Linked DNA regions of Oryzias latipes. The protein of the gene in region 1 binds, or shares a complex with, the protein of each later gene. Links are inferred from orthologs where the notes say so. Each region holds a gene or a part of one and is shown on either strand. Other genes may lie near its edges.

Region 1 (4,047 bases):
TATTTCCTGTCCGCACTTATGTTTGGCTAACTATTTGTTTGTCTAACTATCTTCATTAATTATGACTGGTACATTTTTTCTTTTCTTTAATTTCTGTGAGGATTTTTATGAGTAAATGTGGATTTCCAAACATTCACTGTGAATATCTGAAATGGAGAACCTTAAATTTAACGCCCATTCATTGTCACACACCTAAATGACCACTAGAGGCTGGTTTCAGAATGAGGCAATTTCCCACTGACTCTCACATCTAAAAGTCGGACTTTAAAGCAAAATTTTATATTTCTATTGATTTATTTTTGTTCACCACAGGTGTGGAATATGTGGAGGTGTGTGTTTTTTTTTTGATTGGCAGGTAGTTGGACTTAGCAAAACTCCAACATTCTGAGCAAACTGTGGGTCTTTTTTAGTTGCAATTCGGATTCAGATTATCCCAAGCGGAGTTTTGTTATCCATTACTGTTCACTCAAAAATCCAACACTTCAGATTTCAAAAGTCAGTTATTAGATGAAACAAGAAAAAGAATACCTTTTTTCATCACTTCAGCAACAAAATAAATAATCCATCTGTCCGTCTGTCCATCCATTTTCTTTATCAGCGATATAAACGGGGCCTGTTCACCTGCTGTTGGTTCTGATAAATTATTTAACACTTAAAGGTCTTTTTTTTCAGCTCTGCTCAATTTTTTCCTTTGGCTTTTAAACAGATGACTGATTATTTTCAGCTAAAGCTCCTGAAGGTGGAATTCACCACAGATATTTATTTTTTCTTATCTTAAATAAATTTTGGAGGAAAACGAAGGTGTTAATATTTTTTATTTATTTAATAATTTTTATATATTGTAAAAATGATAGATTCAAGATTTATATGTATATTATAATACATAATTTAAAAACATTATACTATTTTTTATTACAAATATTGATGACATAATTGTTTATCAGATTTCATTAATTGCCTGGAACAAAAATAATATTATTTGTTTTAACCCTTGTGCTATCTTAGATGACCCCACCCTTACTTTGACGTGTTCTCCCTACCATGACAAAGGTGGATAAAGGTGGAAAGATTTCATGTAATTTATGGACACCAGTGAAGATCACAAATCATTGAAGAAAAAAGATTCAGCGCACTGTTTAGTCGGTCTAGATGACCCAGCTCCCAATGTTAAAATGCCTAGGATAGCACAAGGGTTAACGAAGCAAGGGGTGAGGGTTCTAATGGCACACGGCCCCGCCGAAGGGCGCCACTGTGCTTCTGCATGAAACAACCTGCATCACGTGACGAAGGCCGCAGCGGCTTCACGAGAACCGGAAGTAGAAGTTGAGTTGTTGTTGCAACACAGCTGCTGTCATGTGATAGCCTGTCTGAAAAGCTGCTGTGCTGCAGTAGCTTCCTGCTTCTTGATGTTGTTAAAGTAAAAGTCCACAGGAGAGGAATTTTATGTTTGTTGGAGACGGAGCGCGCGGCTCGTATCTGAAGGAGAACAGGGAAGCCGCGCATTGCTAGTTTGGCTCCTCAGACGCCGCCGCCATGGGTTGCTGTTACAGCAACGAGGACGAGAACACAAGTCAGGTAGTTAGCCGCTAGCTAACCACAACCCGATAACTGTACGGTGCTCGGTTCTGCCTTGTTTACCGTGGTATTTACTTTTTTTTAAAATTGATATTTAAATATAAAGAGGAAAACCTGCCCATGTAACTTCTAGTTTTGTGTCAGATATTTCTGTAACATCTAAAGCAATGTAGCTAACTCTAATGCAGGCCTAGCCCGGAGCTGATTTAGTAGCTTAAGTAAAGTAAACAAGTTGTATATCTGTTAATGTAAACATCTGGATTTCTTGTTAAAGTTTAGTGGTTTATATATACGAAATATTTACTTATCAAACAAATTCACGTCCTGCAGTTTGTTACGTAGATTATGTTCGTGCTGTTTAATCATGGGTTAGAAATCAATTGTGAGCTGTAGGCTGTACAGAATACATAACTAGACTTTTCCGTATTGTGTCTTGAAGAGTTCAGTGTCACATGATCATGCAGACTCCAAGCTATTTTAGTATAAGGAAACAAGTGTGACGTTCCTTTGTTACTGTAAATATGCCATCATAGTTGTAGTAAAATAACTGTTTAGCCCTCTATTTTTATTATTTTTGCAAAGCACATTAAACCAAACACGTAAATTGTTCTGTTAAAAGCATAGTGAAATTTAAAGTATAATTGATTTAGTTTAAACATTTCTCTATAATAAAACACACATTAGGTTTAATTAACATTATTTTTATTGATTTGTGTAAGGTCTGGTAGCATAACATGTACAAGTGGATGAAGGGTTTTTGTATTCGTATTTAAAGAATTAAAAGTTGAGATGAACTGTTTTCCGGTTAAGTGAAAAAGTTTCTTAAAATATTTAAAATGAAATGGTACTGGATAACCTAACACATGAAAAATAAATATCATAACAGACTTATTGTTCAGCACTAGCAAAGGTTGCAGAGATTTCTCTTAGTTGAAGAGTTTGTAATATGTTCACTTATTAAAAGTAAAAATGAGTAACTTGCTGCACACATGTCATCTACAGTCTTTTGTCCTGGTAAAATGGCATGCTTTCATTGTTGCAACTACTTCAGAAAACAGTTTTAAGACAGTATTTGTGACATTTTCATTCAGAAGTGTGTATAAATTGTCTGAATAGATGCTCTGCTACTTTTGCAAGGACCCTGATGAGATTAAGCCCCTTATCCCCCACCCAAACCCCATTAGCAAGCCTCCAAATGGGACAGACTGGATCAATCCTAGCGTCCCATCAGCGCGGACGGATGAGCAGGCCATTCTCACATCCATCCTGGTCAAGACAGCACAGTAAGGCACTTTTTATGTTTGGATAGGTCCAGAATGGGACTTTTGACACTATAGTCTCAAACGCAAGTAATGAAAATCTCTTTGTTGTGTTTGAGGAACATCATTGATGTCTCAGCAGCTGACTCTGTTGTTATGGAGCAGCATGAATACATGGACAAAGCCAAGCAATACAGGTATGTCTTTGAAGACTACTTATTCGTTACCAACTGAACTTTTGGCATGTGTAAGCCAATAATTTAAATTTATATTAAATTTGTAAACTGCAAGCCTCTGTATTGTAATTGGTTGAACAACTTTTATTCTGCAATATTTTGTATACATGGTTCGGATTTAGCAAAAAAAACAGTTTTATTCGTGGAATCTAAAGCAATTGAGGATGATGAGGTCTTTGTATCCTGAGGAAGTTGTGAAGGAGGTAATTTAACCACAAAATTGCTGCAGTGCTGGTGCTTCCCTATAAAAGCTGTTTAGACAAAACAGCTGTCAAGCTGTAAAAGGCAACCGCCGGTTATAGTGCAAAACTGTGCAGTCTGGTCGGACACAAGCGAGACCATTTGGGTTAATTTTTTTTGAAGCTGAACTTGTGTTTTTTTTTATGGTTCCAGTACAAAGTTGACTGCAGTGAGCACCAGCCTACCACAGAAGAAAGCACTAGCCCTCCCCTCACTCACTACCCAGCCCCACCAAGTGCTTGCAAGTGATCTGGTGTCATATTCAGATATTCAGCAGGTAACCACACTGACACGCACTTTAATCCATGTCCTTGAATCCATGTCCTGTTTGTCCTGCCTTGTTTTATGCTGTAAAACCAGGTGATTTGTTTAAAAAACAAAACAAAGACCCTATAAAAAAGTTGAGGTTTATCTTGGTTGTGTTTTGAAAATAAAAACAGAGTATTTTGAAATATTGTTGCATCAACCCATTTCTTCATCTAAACATTCAGAATTCTCCCCCTTAAAAATGTACAAATGGACAAAAAAAAGAAAACAAGTGATATTAATTACTAGACTCTCAGTTGAAATCGCATGTTACTTTCTGCTGAAGTATTAATATTAATTTTTTTTTTCATTATTATGATCAGTGCTTTATATTTTAAAATATTCTATTAGAAGTCTGTAATAGCGTTCTGATCATGCAGATTTTCAAAATCAAATGACTCAGAATCGGATTGGGGGCAAAAAAAAACCTC
Region 2 (4,242 bases), on another chromosome or scaffold:
TTTGACAATTGGAAGATGAACGTTTGAAGATTTAGTTCACGTCTCACCTGTTCTGAAGAACATGATCAGAAACCTTCTCCTGCCTGAGCTGCAGTGCCTGGAATGTCCTGGAAACAAAGGACCCTGGAGGTGACGACACCCACCTGAGCAATCCACACAGAAAGAAACAACCGATCTGGAGGAGGCAGCTCTGCTGAAAAAAGAACTAATGACTTTTATTGGGCAAATGTTACTGATGGATGGACTGACGACGGGCTTTCAGCAGGGACAGCAAGACAGTATAATAATCTATAATAAGGGATGTTACAATACCGGACAAATAAATCAATATATTGTATCTGATTGGAGACCAAATACTAATATTTTCTTGTAGGTGGCAGTAGCTGCGAAATATTTTAGCTGTGTTTAGAATAAGTTTAAAAGAAATTTCCAATTCAAAATAATTGGAAAATAAAGTTTTAGTCAACTTTATTGAAATATGTTGCCAGCACATTTCGATCAGTTGTAAGTAATGTTAGAATCTTCACTTAGTCCAGAACTATGATGGAGGTTCTAATATATTTTCTATCTACATTTTTCCCAGTCAAAAGAAGACAAAAAACATTAGACTTGGTTTGACCATGGATGAACCATGACGTCTGACCACCAGCAGGGGGAGCAGAGAGCACACGGCAGTTTAAAACAGCGAAGAAGAAGCGTCACGTGACAGCGAAGAAGAAGCGTCACGTGACTGCAGCTCTTTGGAAATTCACGGTGGTAGCATCAGCTGATTGTTTGTTTAAACGTTCAGAGGACCGAGCTCACTGTGGAAACGCTCCGGACGGGCTCGTCGTGTTTTGGATTCGGAGCCGGCGGTTCTCCTGACTTCCTGTGACGGAACCGGCTTGGGTCCTCGGAGCTGCCATGGCGGACGTGAGTCTGTCTGTCCTCCTTTAGCACCTCCTGTTCTGTTAGGCTTCACTAAAAACTCTTTAGTTTTTGGGAAGATGCTCAAAGTTCACTATTCTCTTCTAATTACAAAAACACACAGTATCATGTGGGATGGTTTGTAGGTGATAAATTATTTCATTTGGCATTTAATATTGTATTAATGTTTCATTCACAACAGCAAATTCTTAAAAAAAAATCAAACCATTACTTAATAAATTTTAGAGAGAGATATGTTTTTTTTAATCACTAAAGTTTATTAAAACAAAAGTGCAAAACAGATAAGCTGTGTAACAACCCTTAGTTTTATATTACATTTGTATTAGACTACAGTCCTAATTTTCATCTTTATTTCTTTCTGTTCTATACATGTGGATATGTTGTGTTAAAAACAGACGCTCTACAGAGGTCACGTGACATTTTTCCATTAACTGTTTATGAGAACTAGACTGGGTGACTCCTCCCCCTGGCTGTCCAAACAGGAAGTACCTGTTGGCTCCAAGAAGCCAGAATCCCATAGACTTCTTTGGAGAAATTAACAGCGGTTACTCGGTCACTATTGTCAGTAATGCTGGGTGAAAATGGTGGTGGGGAGACCAGGATCTTCTCTGACGGTTTGAAGCTCTAAAGCTCACAGACGTCCACGTTCTTGACTGTTTCTGAGGTTGCTCCTTAACTCTTTATGCTCCCGTCTGCAGGATCTGAAGAGGTTCCTGTACAAACAGATGCAGAGGTGAGGCTTTTGTCCCTTATTGTTATTGCACAAAGTGATTTACTTTAACTATATAACAAGAAAAAAAAATCTGTATTATAAATCAAATCTCTTTTCTCAAAAAAGAGTTTTTGTATCTTATATCACATGTAAATAGTAGTTTTCTGTGTCCTCAGTGTTGACGGGCTTCACGCTATCGTGGTGACGGACCGAGACGGCGTCCCGGTAATCAAAGGTGAGACTTCTTCTGTTTCGGGTTTTCTGTTCCAATAAACTGTGTTTTAATAACTTATTAGAAATACTTTTGGCCTCAGGGCCAACCTGCTACTCAACAGGAACGCTTTATCCTCAGCCTCAGCAGCTTCTTGTTGTGGCAGTAGTTTCATGGTTTGGGGTGACTCAGCTCTGGCTCCACTCGTACGAGTTTAGGTTAGAAGTCACCAAAGTAGAGCAGAAAATGGATCTAAAAGACTCATTCATCTGCATTTTAGGGGTCAAACTGTTGGGGATTTTTCTGACTTTTTTTTCTGGCCCTGGTCTTTGAACGCACCGCTCACCAGCAGGAAGTCCTCATCCTAACACGCCTGCTTGTTTTCCTCCAGTTGCCAACGACAGCGTTCCGGTGCACGCGCTCAGACCGGGCTTCCTGTCCACGTTCGCTCTGGCCACGGATCAGGGGAGCAAGCTGGGCCTCTCCAAGAACAAGAGCATCATCTGCTACTACAACACCTACCAGGTGACCCCTCCCAGCATCACCGCGTGGGGGCGTGGCAGCCGGAACACCGGCGCCTTTCACCCGCGCTCGCTTCATCCGGTTCCTGCCAGTTTGTGTCCGGTCCGGGTCAGATCCAGAACCAGACTCTAGTCTCCATCGTCTCTTATAGTAACAAACTTCCTGTTTGTAAACTTTTGGGGGTGGGATTAAGAGAATAGCCTCACATAAAAGCAGAGTGAGACGGACTGAAATGAGATGATCCATGGGAGTCGGATCACAACAGAAGCACTAGAGCAGGTTCTGTAAATGTCAGAGGGTTCTGAGAGTAAAGAAGAACTTCTGCTGGGACAGAGAGGAGAAAAGTCTGCAAACGTTATCCTCTGATGGAGCAGACAAAACGTCCAGCAGAGGAAAATCTCAGAATCTGTTGGTCTTCTTTTGTTTTTCATGATTTGTTAAGCCAGCTGAACTTTTTCCTGAGTTTTTTTAAGAAAAATCAGAGAAGTGAAAATATTTGGGTTTTTTTTATTGCTAAGTAAAAAAAAAAACCAAATCACTCTGATGGATTCCTTCTGCTCTGAACCAGCCTAACCCGGCCAATCTCCATGGTAACCAGACTCTGCTCTGGTTCTGCCTTTGTGACCCGTCTGCTGTCTCTGCTCGACAGATCATGCAGTTTAACCGCCTGCCGCTGGTCGTCAGCTTCATCGCCAGCAGCAGCGCCAACACAGGTGAGATGAGGAGGCGTGTCTGAGGAGCCCCGCCCACTGGTTATCTGCAGTCTGTTTGATGTTCTCTGAACAGAGCGTGTCTTAAAATGATCTCAGTCTTCATCTCCGTGCACCCCGCTGTTCGTGTGTAGCTTATTGCTGCATCGTGGGGAAGGAGAAATATCGCCATGGAAACGCAAAAACTTTTACCTGAGGCCTTTTCATCATCCAAATGAAAGAAAGCAGAGAAAGTGACTCAGCATCATCGTCCAAAATATGTTGCAATGTGGTAATACTGGCATTTAAAATACGGCTCAAGAGCCAAGAAGTTGAAGTTTATCTGAGAAAAAACCCGACATTTCAGATCATTTAGTCTGACGGGAATCTCCAGGAATGTTCTGGATTATATTTAGTGAAAAGAAGAAAAAAAGTTCTTGTCAAACCCCTTCTGACAAAAGATGAATCCTGTGAGTCTGACCCATCCTGCAGACTCAGGTGGGAGGGGCCTAATCAAAACCTAGAGTGAGCCCTCCCCCCCTGGCGTTCCAAACAGGAAGTACCTAATCCTACAGAGAAATAGACAGCTGTTACTCAGTCTTTTGATCCGAGTAAGTATTCTTACTCGGATACATTTTTTTTATGATCGTCATATTTTTCTGTGGTTCAAGTTATAAACTGACCAATCAGATAAGAGTATCCATTCGACAGATTTCATGTCTTTTAAGTGGTGGTAGGGGTGTGGAGTTCCAACAAGCTCACTCCTGATTGGTGAGAGTGGTTGCCATAGAAACATGGACTCAGATTGACTTATCGCTGCTTATATATCCTGAAAAAATGGCGAGTGAATTGACTTCATGTGGTTGGAGCTGGAGGTAAACCATTTTCTCTGTGTGATGTCACATTCAGTCCAGTGCTCATATGCAGTCAGGGGATTCTCCAGATAAACCTGATCCTGACCAGGGTAGGGTCAGATTGTTTCCATAGCAACAGACTCCAGTTAGGAGCCATCCAGCTTTGTGAAAATGAATCCATCTGGTTTTTCACACGAGTGGGAGGCGTTTTGTAAAAACCCTCCTTTTCTGTCCTCAGGCCTCATCATGACTCTGGAGAAGGAGCTGGCTCCTCTGATGGAGGAGCTGAGGCAGGTGGTGGAGGTCACATAAAGTCCCATGATGCTT

What was found.
Region 2: lamtor1 (region 1) and lamtor3 share a complex: the UniProt entries of both Homo sapiens proteins name them as parts of the ragulator complex. The link is inferred for Oryzias latipes from reciprocal best matches to the Homo sapiens genes LAMTOR1 and LAMTOR3.

The regions. Positions count from the first base shown.
Region 1 is NC_019871.2:21,798,437-21,802,483, reverse strand, and holds the start of lamtor1 (ragulator complex protein LAMTOR1), read left to right. Parts: upstream 1-1,247; 5' UTR 1,248-1,533; coding exon 1,534-1,575; intron 1,576-2,712; coding exon 2,713-2,858; intron 2,859-2,953; coding exon 2,954-3,031; intron 3,032-3,463; coding exon 3,464-3,587; intron 3,588-4,047. UniProt on the Homo sapiens protein: Key component of the Ragulator complex, a multiprotein complex involved in amino acid sensing and activation of mTORC1, a signaling complex promoting cell growth in response to growth factors, energy levels, and amino acids.
Region 2 is NC_019880.2:24,349,292-24,353,533, forward strand, and holds the start of lamtor3 (ragulator complex protein LAMTOR3), read left to right. Parts: upstream 1-1,442; 5' UTR 1,443-1,508; coding exon 1,509-1,541; intron 1,542-1,625; coding exon 1,626-1,660; intron 1,661-1,815; coding exon 1,816-1,874; intron 1,875-2,241; coding exon 2,242-2,375; intron 2,376-3,021; coding exon 3,022-3,085; intron 3,086-4,153; coding exon 4,154-4,227; 3' UTR 4,228-4,242. UniProt on the Homo sapiens protein: As part of the Ragulator complex it is involved in amino acid sensing and activation of mTORC1, a signaling complex promoting cell growth in response to growth factors, energy levels, and amino acids.